Xenopus tropicalis: one gene and its partners. The protein of the gene in region 3 interacts with the protein of the main gene of each other region in a pairwise test. Links are inferred from orthologs where the notes say so. Each region holds a gene or a part of one and is shown on either strand. Other genes may lie near its edges. The genes, in order: btbd2, btbd1 and top1.1.

What was found.
Region 1: the proteins of top1.1 (region 3) and btbd2 interact in a two-hybrid assay, tested with the Homo sapiens proteins (2 studies listed by BioGRID). The link is inferred for Xenopus tropicalis from reciprocal best matches to the Homo sapiens genes TOP1 and BTBD2.
Region 2: the proteins of top1.1 (region 3) and btbd1 interact in a two-hybrid assay, tested with the Homo sapiens proteins (2 studies listed by BioGRID). The link is inferred for Xenopus tropicalis from reciprocal best matches to the Homo sapiens genes TOP1 and BTBD1.

The regions. Positions count from the first base shown.
Region 1 is NC_030677.2:102,971,320-102,974,977, forward strand, and holds part of btbd2 (BTB/POZ domain-containing protein 2), read left to right. Parts: intron 1-1,810; coding exon 1,811-1,930; intron 1,931-2,503; coding exon 2,504-2,660; intron 2,661-3,175; coding exon 3,176-3,281; intron 3,282-3,658.
Region 2 is NC_030679.2:105,416,761-105,420,418, forward strand, and holds part of btbd1 (BTB/POZ domain-containing protein 1), read right to left. Parts: intron 1,502-3,658; coding exon 1,304-1,501; intron 969-1,303; coding exon 776-968; intron 1-775.
Region 3 is NC_030686.2:40,925,777-40,929,434, forward strand, and holds part of top1.1 (DNA topoisomerase 1), read right to left. Parts: intron 1,343-3,658; coding exon 1,255-1,342; intron 763-1,254; coding exon 489-762; intron 94-488; coding exon 41-93; intron 1-40. UniProt on the Homo sapiens protein: Releases the supercoiling and torsional tension of DNA introduced during the DNA replication and transcription by transiently cleaving and rejoining one strand of the DNA duplex.

The DNA of each region.
Region 1 (3,658 bases), on a different chromosome or scaffold from region 3:
CAAATGATTTGCTTTTCCAGTTAAATAAGATGCCGTTTCCCTCAAAATATCGGTTCTAGCGTGTGAACATTTTTGAAATTTTATAAAAACATTTTAAAGTACACTTACTCACGTGCAGTGTATACTCTAGCAATAATGTGGCAAATGATAGCCTCTTAGGTTAGAATAAATTATTACAAGAGATGTTGTCACTATATCATTTTTTAAAATGCTTGTTCATTCAGGCCTTTACATGTAGTTTAGTCGTTAGAGTCCTATGTGGGTCTAATCACGTGGACTTGACCTTTACCCACAGACTTAGCCTCTTGGACCCAATACCATCCTCCAACAACAAACCAAAGGCAGGAAGTTGGGATTTGAAGTGGAGAGGCTTAAGGTGGCCATAGACAGGCAAATTTGTAATTATTGATTCAAGCCCTTCAGACCTATTTGGCAGCTTATCTGCCTCTGATGGTCCTATCTGACCAATATCTGGCTGAAAATCGTCCAGAGGTCGATCGAGCAGGTATGATCGCATTGGCTGGTTGATGTGGTCTTCCCTTAAATAGTTAGTTGTAATCCAGTCATTTGGCCCTAGGGCCAAAAGATTGGGTTAGCCCAATATCAGCCATCTTAGGTGGCAACATCACCAAACAAGCGGATTTTATAGTATATGGTTAGCTTTATTGCTTAAAGCAGAGTACCGGTACCCACAATAAAATAACTGTGACATTTACATTAACACACTTAGATTCTTATAATATTTTTAATCAACAATTAAAAAAAAAAAACAAACATCATGAATAGCGGAAACACTATGCCTTTTTTTCACAAACAGCTTTTATTCTGGTAGTCTGAGCACCGTTGATCACTTCCAAAAACACATGCAGTCTCCTGATAACATTGGCCTTAGTATATACTTTTATTGGAGCAGGGATGATGTAAATGGGTACCTTGGAAATCTTGTACACCATGTTGGCCATTGCTCTTCCACTTTCTCTCTCCATTTATGCTTTACATCTTTTACTCTTATACAGCATTGCACAGATGTGCGGCTGAAAAAACATTCTGTTTTCTTTCAGCTGTTTCTTGACTTTTCCCCATTTTGATTTAGCTTTCTTCTCTAACTCCTTTACATTTGCTCACTCCTCCCCTTTCTTCTTCTGCTCTCCCTACCCTCTAATTTCACCCCTTTCATCTCTCTCTTTCTGAAATTGTAAGCGGGCTGTTTTGTGACGTTGGTGCAGCAATGGCTTATTTTTTTTCTGCCAACTCTACCATGCAGTTGGAGAATCTCCTTATTGTGCATGCTGAGACAACAACGGCACTTTGTTTTAGAAAAGCATGTATTTCAGTAGAAGTTGCTTAATGGTTTTTGTTTGCATCCTGAGAAAGTCTCCTGACAGTTGTGTCTGAAATCTTTCCTGGTCTATTTGACTGTAGCTTGTTATGGGAAAACCATTTTTGACTTCATCATCAGAGTTTGAACAATACTGATTGGAACTTCCTGTTCAATCACTTATTTATATTCTTGTGCCTGTCCCTCCCCACATGGGTTTATTAGTAATGCTGGCCTGTTGGGTTTAATTGGGAGAGGATGGGTTATGGTAAAGCCAAGGACAACCTGCGCATTACTAAACACAAAAAAAAAAAACTTTTAAAACTTATAACAGTTGTAACTGATGCATATCGGAAAATTGCTAAGAATTATATTTTCTTTCATCAGTCAAAATGCTATCGTATTTCTAATGAATATAAATTGTATATGAAATGATTCTAGTAAAGTGACTGAATGTATCTTTGAAAGCAACTCAGTGTTTATACTTCTTAGGTTTGTGTTGGCTGTGGGAAGTGCAGTCTTTGATGCTATGTTTAATGGTGGAATGGCTACAACGTCCACAGAAATAGAATTGCCAGATGTTGAACCTGCTGCATTCCTTGCTTTGTTAAAGTAAGTACAGTATATGCTTACCTTTTTTGAGGGTATTAGTGCCTATTACTTCCATACTTTAGTATAGGTTAATGCTTTCACTTTATACAGGTATGGGATTTGTTATCCAGCTCTTAATTATGGGAAGGATGTCTTTCATGCATTCCATCAAATAACTCAGATTGTTCTTTTTCTCTGTAATAATAAAACAGAACCTTGTACTTGATCCCAACCAAGATATAATTAATCCTTATTGGTGGCAAAAAATGCTATTGGGTTTAATCAATCTTTAAATGCTTTTTTAAGTATACTGAAGGTATGGAGATCCAAGTTATGGAAGGATCCCTTATCCAGAAAACCCCAGGTCCTGAGCATTCTGGATAACAAGTCCCATACCTGTATATGTAACAGTAAACACTGTAAAAGTAAGTTTTGGTGCATTATTGAGTGTACATAATCAAGGACCACATATCCTTAGGAAAATAGAATACAAAAAATCTTTATATAGAGCTTTACAAAAAATGGTTAAATCATTTTTGTGTAAAGTAGGCATTTACCTGGGCTTTTGTCTAATCAGCACTAATGTTGTTTGAGGTTCCTTTACTCTGATGAAGTACAGATCGGTCCAGAGACTGTAATGACAACTTTATACACGGCCAAGAAATATGCTGTACCTGCCCTGGAGGCGCACTGCGTGGAATTTCTAAAGAAGAACCTTCGAGCAGATAATGCTTTTATGTTGCTTACACAGGTATTTTTATTATTCACATAACCTTATAATGTACCAAAGTATTCCCCAGCACTGTACAGTAGAAACATATATACATTAAACATGCAGATTACATACAAATACTGATGCAGCAGGTAAAAAGGGCCCTACTTTGAATTGTCAGATTATGTTCATAATAAGCTTTGCATTCTCATTATTTTGATATAAATGTTATGTTAAGTACAGAGGTATGAGGGGTTCTTATTGGCATATCTGTGTAAAAGAAAAAACAACTGGCAAACCAATGGCAAAACTTTTTTAAAAAATGGCAGATCGTCCCTGAAACTAATTGATAGTTTTGTAAACCCATAACTGGTAAATAAAAATGTCTCATTAAGATCTACTAAGACATTAAAACTGCTAATTGTTAGGTTCTTATGCTGTCATCTTGCATTTTGAGTATAGGTAAAATGAAATAATTGCAAAACTTTGAGAGTTTGTTTTGGTACCATAAACAAGAGCTGACTTCTTGCATTTTGTTGTTATAACAACTTTAGGCTCGGCTGTTTGATGAACCTCAGCTAGCAAGCCTTTGTCTGGAAAACATTGATAAGAATACCTCAGATGCCCTAAATGCAGAGGGTTTCACTGACATCGATTTAGGTAATTTTATCAAAGCTTGTCTCCCTCCTCATGGCCTGAATACTAAAGCATGGTTCAGTGCATGCATTTAAAGGCATAGTTTAGGAGAATGGCACACCCAGCTATCCCTTGTCCACAGAAAATCACTAGTAGCTCTGACTTTCTAAAAGTACTGCATGAAGTACGCAATATCGTGCCTGACTCTTTGGATCTGTAGCAGAGCCCCCTACAGACATAATTTGTTTTTTTTTTCCATTAGTTTTGTTTTCTCTCAGGCTTTGCTATTTATGGCTAGGACCGTGTGGAGAAGCTTTACCAGAGCTATTTATCATTAAGGGAAGTACTTGGAATGTAGCATATTTTTCCATTGCAAACTACCATAGAAGCTATTCCCAGCC
Region 2 (3,658 bases), on a different chromosome or scaffold from region 3:
ACCTTTAAATAAAGCATCATATGTATAAATTAAAAGTGCAAGCAGGCTTTACATACAGTATAAATAAATATATGACTGGGTGAGACTGGATGGGCTTATGAGCAGCAACCAGAAATCAATAATGCCATTAATGTGGGCAAACACGTATGCTTTAAATTTTGGTAACAGATGGGCAAGTGTTTTGTAGTGTCAGAACTATGGGAGCATTGCCCAGACTGAGATCATTCACCCTATAGAGGAAACACAAGCAAGCCAAGATGCTTCCATGTAAATCCAGTGTCTTAGAACGTCACTGTGTGACCAGCTAAGCAGGAAGCTTTCCCCCCCCTTTCCCCTTATAATTAGGATTATTATTTATAAGCACCACCCCCCATACAGCAAGTTGGCCAGCTCCAGGCCAGCGATGCGGCCCGTGCCGCTTCGGGTTGCGCCCCGTGCGTACATGATGTCAGTACGCACCGGCGCCCCGTGCGTACTGACGTCATGTACACACGGGGCGCAACCCGATCTTCACCGGTATGGGGGTATTTAAAAAATGAATATCAGTTTTTTTTTAAAAAACGGTATTCGGTATATGGCGGTATACTGCCCAGCACTATGTTTGTGCTTTACAAACAATAGAATAGTAATAATTATATAAATGAAACTGGTATATAATTTGTATCATAAGGCATTTGTGTTGCCTTCAGAGGCTACCCATTTTATAGAAATCCCCTATAATAAGAAATCCCAATAAGGACTGTCAAGCATGGGGAATTGTTGTCTGTAGTATCACCTGACCCTGTCGCTTGTTCCACTGTATCCCCATCGGCTTTCCACTTGCTGGAATCTGGTAATGCTGCATTCTCTTCCACGGAGACAACATCGTGGGCGATCAGTATAGTCTACATGAGGCTTAGGATTTACTGTAAAATGTAGAAAGAGGTTTACCACTTCCCGGTCTGACAAAATTCCAGACTGAGCAGGACCTGCCATGACAAATATAAAACAAAAATACCACTGTAGTGGGCAAGTTGGTGTGGAAATACAGTGCTCATTCTTTATACCATCACCCGCAGTTATCACCAGGTAGCTGCATTTCACAAAAGTACATTTAGTGATGCTTAATAAATTAGACAACATGCTTTATAATGTTGGCCAAGTGGTATAAGAAATACATATTGTACTATATTAGGCCATACGAGTATATCCATCCTTGGTTCTTGCACCACTAATACATATATAGGAAGCCTGTAACTCTTCAGATATAGTTAAACATTTAACTCCAAGCATCACAGTGATGCACTCCCAGTCACTAAATTACCTGCTGCAAACTCCTCTACTGTCATTAGAGGGAAACGGATCAAGGGCAGCGCCTTTCCTAGAACCTTCATTTTGTTTTCTGTGCTGACAGGAAGTTGCTGCCTCTGACATTCAGCCTCTGCCCAACGAACGGCCGCACCAAAGAGATGGCTCTCCCGAATGCTCAGGGTGTCTCGCTGTAAGACTGCGCACAATGTGTCTGAGGAAAGATGCAACTAATCATTTAATACAGTCACAGTGAATTCCATATGGTTTGACAAAAAAAGTGTAACCGTCCAGAAAATTCTGAGTTATAAATATGCAGATTCTCAGTTACAGGAAGGCCATATATTCTTAAAAAAAATCTAAATCATTGGTGAATTGGTTTGTTCATAGCACTTACAGCTACTAGTCAGCCACCATATCAGATTCACCTCCTCATCTTTTGCACCATTTATTATCCAACATGGGTAGCTGGCAGATAAGATTTTTAAAGGGGTAGTTCTCCTTTGACTTAACTTATAGTATGGTATAGACATTTTTTTTATTTTCCATGTTTTTTAATTATTTAACTTTTTGTTCAGCAGCTCTCCAGTTTGAAATTTCAACAGCTATCAAGTTGTTCAGGTCCAATTTATCCTAGCAACCAGGCAATAGCTTGAATGATAGACTGGACTATAAATAGTAGGGGAACTAAAAAGAAACATAAGTAATAACAATTAGCAAAGAAAAGTTACTAAAGCTGGCCATACACGCACCGATAATATTGTGTAGAAGGCCACAGGTATCGGACGACTTGCCGATCGGGCAGGTTAAAACATTTTGATCGGACGCCATTAAAGGCGCCTGAGCAAAATCTATGTTCAAGGCTGAATCGGCAGAAGGAGGTAGAAATCCTATTGTTTCTACCTCCATATCTGACGATTCAGCCCTGAATGTCAGTGGAAAATCGCCACGTGTGTGGCCAGCTTTAGAACAGAACATTTAATGACACATTAAAAGTTAACATGAACGTAAACGTCCCTTTTAAACCTGTCCGATTAGTAAAATAACCAAAAATCAAGATAAATATCAGTTGTAATGGTTTAGCCAGCATACAAGAAGTGAAAATCGGTACACTCCTGGCCATCTTTATGTTCTAGCAACTGCAGTTACTGACAGAGCCCTGACCCTCATGGACCCCCACATATTTGTGCTCTTTGCATGGGTAAATATGGGACAAAGAAAGTAAGTCAGATGTATATGCGACCATTGCATCCCACTATAGCTACTCCATAGTGCCTATGAGCAGGGCTACAATTAAACTGATAGATAGATATAGATTAGATATAATGGCAACTTGTGCTGTCATTTAATAAAACTAACATCCTGACAAGTCCTTACACCTTTTATCCACTAGGCAGAAAATGTAAATGTAACTCCCAACAATGAACAGGGGAGTTTGCTCAACAAGTTGTGGAAGTGATGCCACGAATGAGGCACCTCAATCCAAGAGACAATTTAGACACTCCTCTTCAAGTGACACAGTCTAAAGCTGGCCATACACACACCGATAATATTGTACGAAACCTCGTTTCGTACGATATTCGGTGTGTGTATGGCAAGCCGACGAATCGACCGATATCGCAGGAGGCTGCTGATATCAGTCGACTCGCCGATCGGCCAGGTTAAAAGATTTTGATTGGGCGCCATAGAAGGCGCCTGAGCAAAATCTGTCCTCAGGGCTGAATCAGCAGAAGGAGGTAGAAATCCTATTGTTTCTCCTTATCTGCCGTTTCAGCCCTGAAGGTTAGTGGCGGATTTAACGATCTTTAGATTGCAAATCGCCACGTGTGTGGCCACCATTAGTCTATATATATATATATATATATATATATATATATATATATATATATATATATAAAATAATCATCTGTGGCCAGCACACCCTTCAATGTTTCAAGGATCCTTGAGAAAGGTCCTAACAAGGACCGAAACGTTGGTTTTAACAATATATCTGCAATAAAAAATTTTTTGATGAAACATTGAAGGGTGTGCTGGCCACAGATGATTATTTTCTATGCATACATAATTTTGGCTAAGCACCCCACAGAATATTGAGCCTTGGAGTGCGGACACCATTTGGATATATATATATATATATATATAAAGCAAGACAGTGAGCCGCACACACAGGGACTTAGTTAGAAAACAAAAAAATTTTTATTAATGAAAAAAATCCAACGTTTCGAGCACCAACTGTGCTCTTCCTCAGGGACAAACCCTGAGGAAGAGCACAGTTGGTGCTCGAAACGTTGGATTTTTTTCATTAATAACACAATAGTCCCTGTGTGTGCGGCTCACTGTCTTGCTTTATACATGTTTTTTGCAAGCACCC
Region 3 (3,658 bases):
CAGTGGCAGTATATTTGCTCTACCGACCCATTGCCTTTACCTAGAGAAACCATTTGCTTTTTTCACTTTAACACTGCCGCTGGAAGATTTCATCTGCAAGAGATAAAAGCAGTCAGGTTAAACAGTGATACTGGTCATAGTGAATACAATAAATATGAGTGCAGGAGGTCCTCAAAACCTCGTTTTGTATGATATTCGGTGCGTGTATGGCAAGTCGGCGAGTCGACCAATATCGCAGGAGGCTGCTGATATATCGGTCAACTCGCCGATCGGACCGGTTAAAAGATTTTGATCGGGCGCCATAGAAGGAGCCTGAGCAAGTTCTGCCATCAGAGCTGAATCGGCAGAAGGAGGTAGAAATCCTATTGTTTCTACCACCTTATCTGCCGTTTCAGCTCTGAACAGTTAGTGGCTGATTGAACGATCTTTCGTGCGACCATCCCAAATCGCCACGTGTGTGGCCACCTTAATGGAGATGACAGCCTCACCTTTTCTTCTTTTCTCTTCTCCCGATCTTTATCTCTGTGTTTATCTTTATGCTTTTCTCCATCTCTATGCTTCTCAGCATCTTTCTCTTTGTGTTTCTCTCCATCTTTATGTTTCTCGCCATCTTTCTCTCGATGCTTATCGTGTTTCTCGCCATTTTTGTCCCTGTGTTTCTCCCCATCTTTTTCTCTGTGTTTCTCGCCATCCTTTTCCCGATGTTTGTCATTGTTTTTGTGTTTGTCTTTATGCTTCTTTTCTGAAGGATCCTTGTGTTCACTGGAGGGGAAAAACAGAAAAAAAGAGCTGTAGGTTGCAAACACTAAATCTCCCACATCCAATTCATGGGCATATAGCTGCTGCGATGGCACTGGTCTATGTATGGGCTCAGGAGATTCCTTTTTTAATTTGTTAGATTTTCATCAGAGAAACACGGCTGGCCAAGTACAGTTTGTGCTAAATATGTAGTCCAGATCCTAGCCTTGTCTATCTTCATATTGTATTTATTCATACAAGCAGTACATTTTCCTACTACAAACTTAAAGATGGCTAAGGCCACACAGCACTTTATAACCACTTATCCTTATAGCAATCATTTTATAAGGCAGGACACCTTTTACATGGATAAACAGCCTAGACATGGCCCTGATTCCCTATATTAGCTGTCCCACAAACGTATAAGTGCTTCAGTATCAATAACTATCCCACTAATTTAACTTGTGAGATTTTCTAATGGAGTCAGCAGCCCTTTCAGGAAAGGTAGGAACATACCTGTTGTTGTGTTTGGATTTTTCCCGGTCTTTGTCTTTCTTATGTTCTTTGTGGCGATGTTCTTTGTCTTTCTTGTGTTTATGAGAGTCTAAATCCCGGAGAAAACAAAAAATCAGTTACTAAACAAGTTACCCTTTATAAAGCAAACAGCCCTGGCAGGCTAAGTGGGACAGGCAAGCTGGCTACCACGAGGTTTAGCCTGTAATTTATACACTACAATTTGTTTTGTTTTTTTAAAAGCTAAAAACACTTCCTCCAGGGCAGACTGTGGTTTTAGGGGTTAATAACCAGGAGAACGAGCAGTTACCAGGCTGATATTTGCGGAATGCGTTGGGTGGAAGGGAACATGCCTACAGGGCAGAGCAGCTTCAATAGCAGACTGACAGCAGGAAGGCACTGCCACCTACCAGAAATGGCCAAGCAAGCTTAACTGCCCCCAGCTATTGATTTTTGAAGTCCCCACCTGCAATTAGACAATAGACTGTCTGGGGCTAAAGAATTGTTCTATAACAACCCCAATTGCCAAACTGGGTCACTGGGAGGGGTGGCATGGGTCTGAAAGAAATGAACGGTATCCAATGTTTTTTTAACTTAATAGGTGCTCGCTATAATTATGTTCTATTGTTTTCTGTATTTACAACCATTTGAGGTGCCCCATCCTTCAGCATCACATTATGCAGGGAAATCAGTCATAACTAAGCTTGTGTATATTCTATATACTTACTGGGAAATAGCAATGCTTACGAAACACAAGGATAATTATCCCTACGACTGTGTGCACCATAATTTGTGGGTTCCATTACTTACAAACCCATTATCCGGAAAGCTCTGAAACACTGCAGTTCCGTTTCCCCTAACATTTAAATAAGTGATTGTTCATTTTGATTGATTCACTTTTCCTTTGTATAGTATGAACCTTGTACTAGTGCAAGCAAGTTGGAGAAAACTACCTACCTATGCCATTGTCCTTAAGCCAATAAGCATACTTGGTAATTGAGTATACTTAATAAATATGGCATTTATGGCATTAAACAATAGGTCAGGGGATCACAACTGGCCACCAGAAATGGCTTGAGTTACACATTATTATTATTATTCTCCTCAAATTTCACCATTACCAGCCTTTAGCCTCCCCCCCACCCAGCCAGTTATATGGGCCTCACTAGGAGGACCAGGCCTACAGTCTGAATTTGGGGTCAGTGCAGTGGTTCCCAGTGATCCCAGTATGCATTCCCAAAAATACCATGGGATCTCAAATGTTTAAGGGCTCAGTCCCTCCTAGGCCCAGAATGTACTTTTCTACCTACTAAACACATCCTACATACTCTATGTAAAGGGAATGCACAGAATCCCGGATTCCTCCTTTGGGGAAACAGGTGGAAGCCAGATGAGCAGCCATGGCAATTGAAACATTATAATGCTCCCATCAGGTAAACAGACGTCCCACCTGCTCGGCTTTCCAGGAACGTTCCATTGCCAGTAGAAGATAAATGCACAAATTCCAAGCCGTAACCAGTTGCTTACATCGGGTATAATTATCCAATCCCCGCGGGAGACATATTTAGTCAATGACACTTCGTTCATTTCAATGCCGGATACACCTCGGAGCAGTGTGAATGAAAGCTTACCCAGTGCTCACTAAAAAAGGGGAGGCTCTAAATACTCTCATGGTACCCCCTCCTTTCCCACACTCCCTGCCAATCTCTTCTATTACACTCGCAGCTCCCACGCCTACATGCCCACGCTAGTAAACTTTATTGGATGATACCAAGTGCTTTACAGAATCAAGGCAAAGTTACATTGTGGCAAACTCAGCCATATAGTGTTGCATCTATTCCTATTTTCCCTTTTTAGAACTAAGCTTTATCAGTTTTATACTTTTTAGAGTAGAAGGAGGACAACACCCCAACTTACTGAGCAAAAAAATCCCCAAACTACTGATGTTTGTCTCCGAATGTCAATTCCCCAGAAAGCTATGGACCAGCTATGTAAAGGCACCAAGTATCCATACCCCCCTTGCCCCAGGGGTGTGATAGGATTGTGGAGGGGGTATGAATGGTGATCTTCATACACAAATGCTTTGGGTGACCCTAAATAGATTTAGAGGTTTATTAAAATGTACAGGTCCAGACTGGCAATCTGTGGATTCAGGCAAATGCCAGAGGGGCTGCTGTAAGGTGCCATAGACACTCACTATTTATTGGGTTTGGGGGGAGCTGTTCGGCCTCTGGGTACTTGGAATGCCAGGACCCAGGACCAGACTGGCAATCTGTGGGTTCAGGCAAATGCCAGAGGGGCTGCTGTAAGATGCCATAGACAGTCACTATTTATTGGGCTGGGGGGGGGGGCTGTTTGGGCCTCTGGGTACTTGGAATGCCAGGACCCAGGCCCAGACTGGCAATCT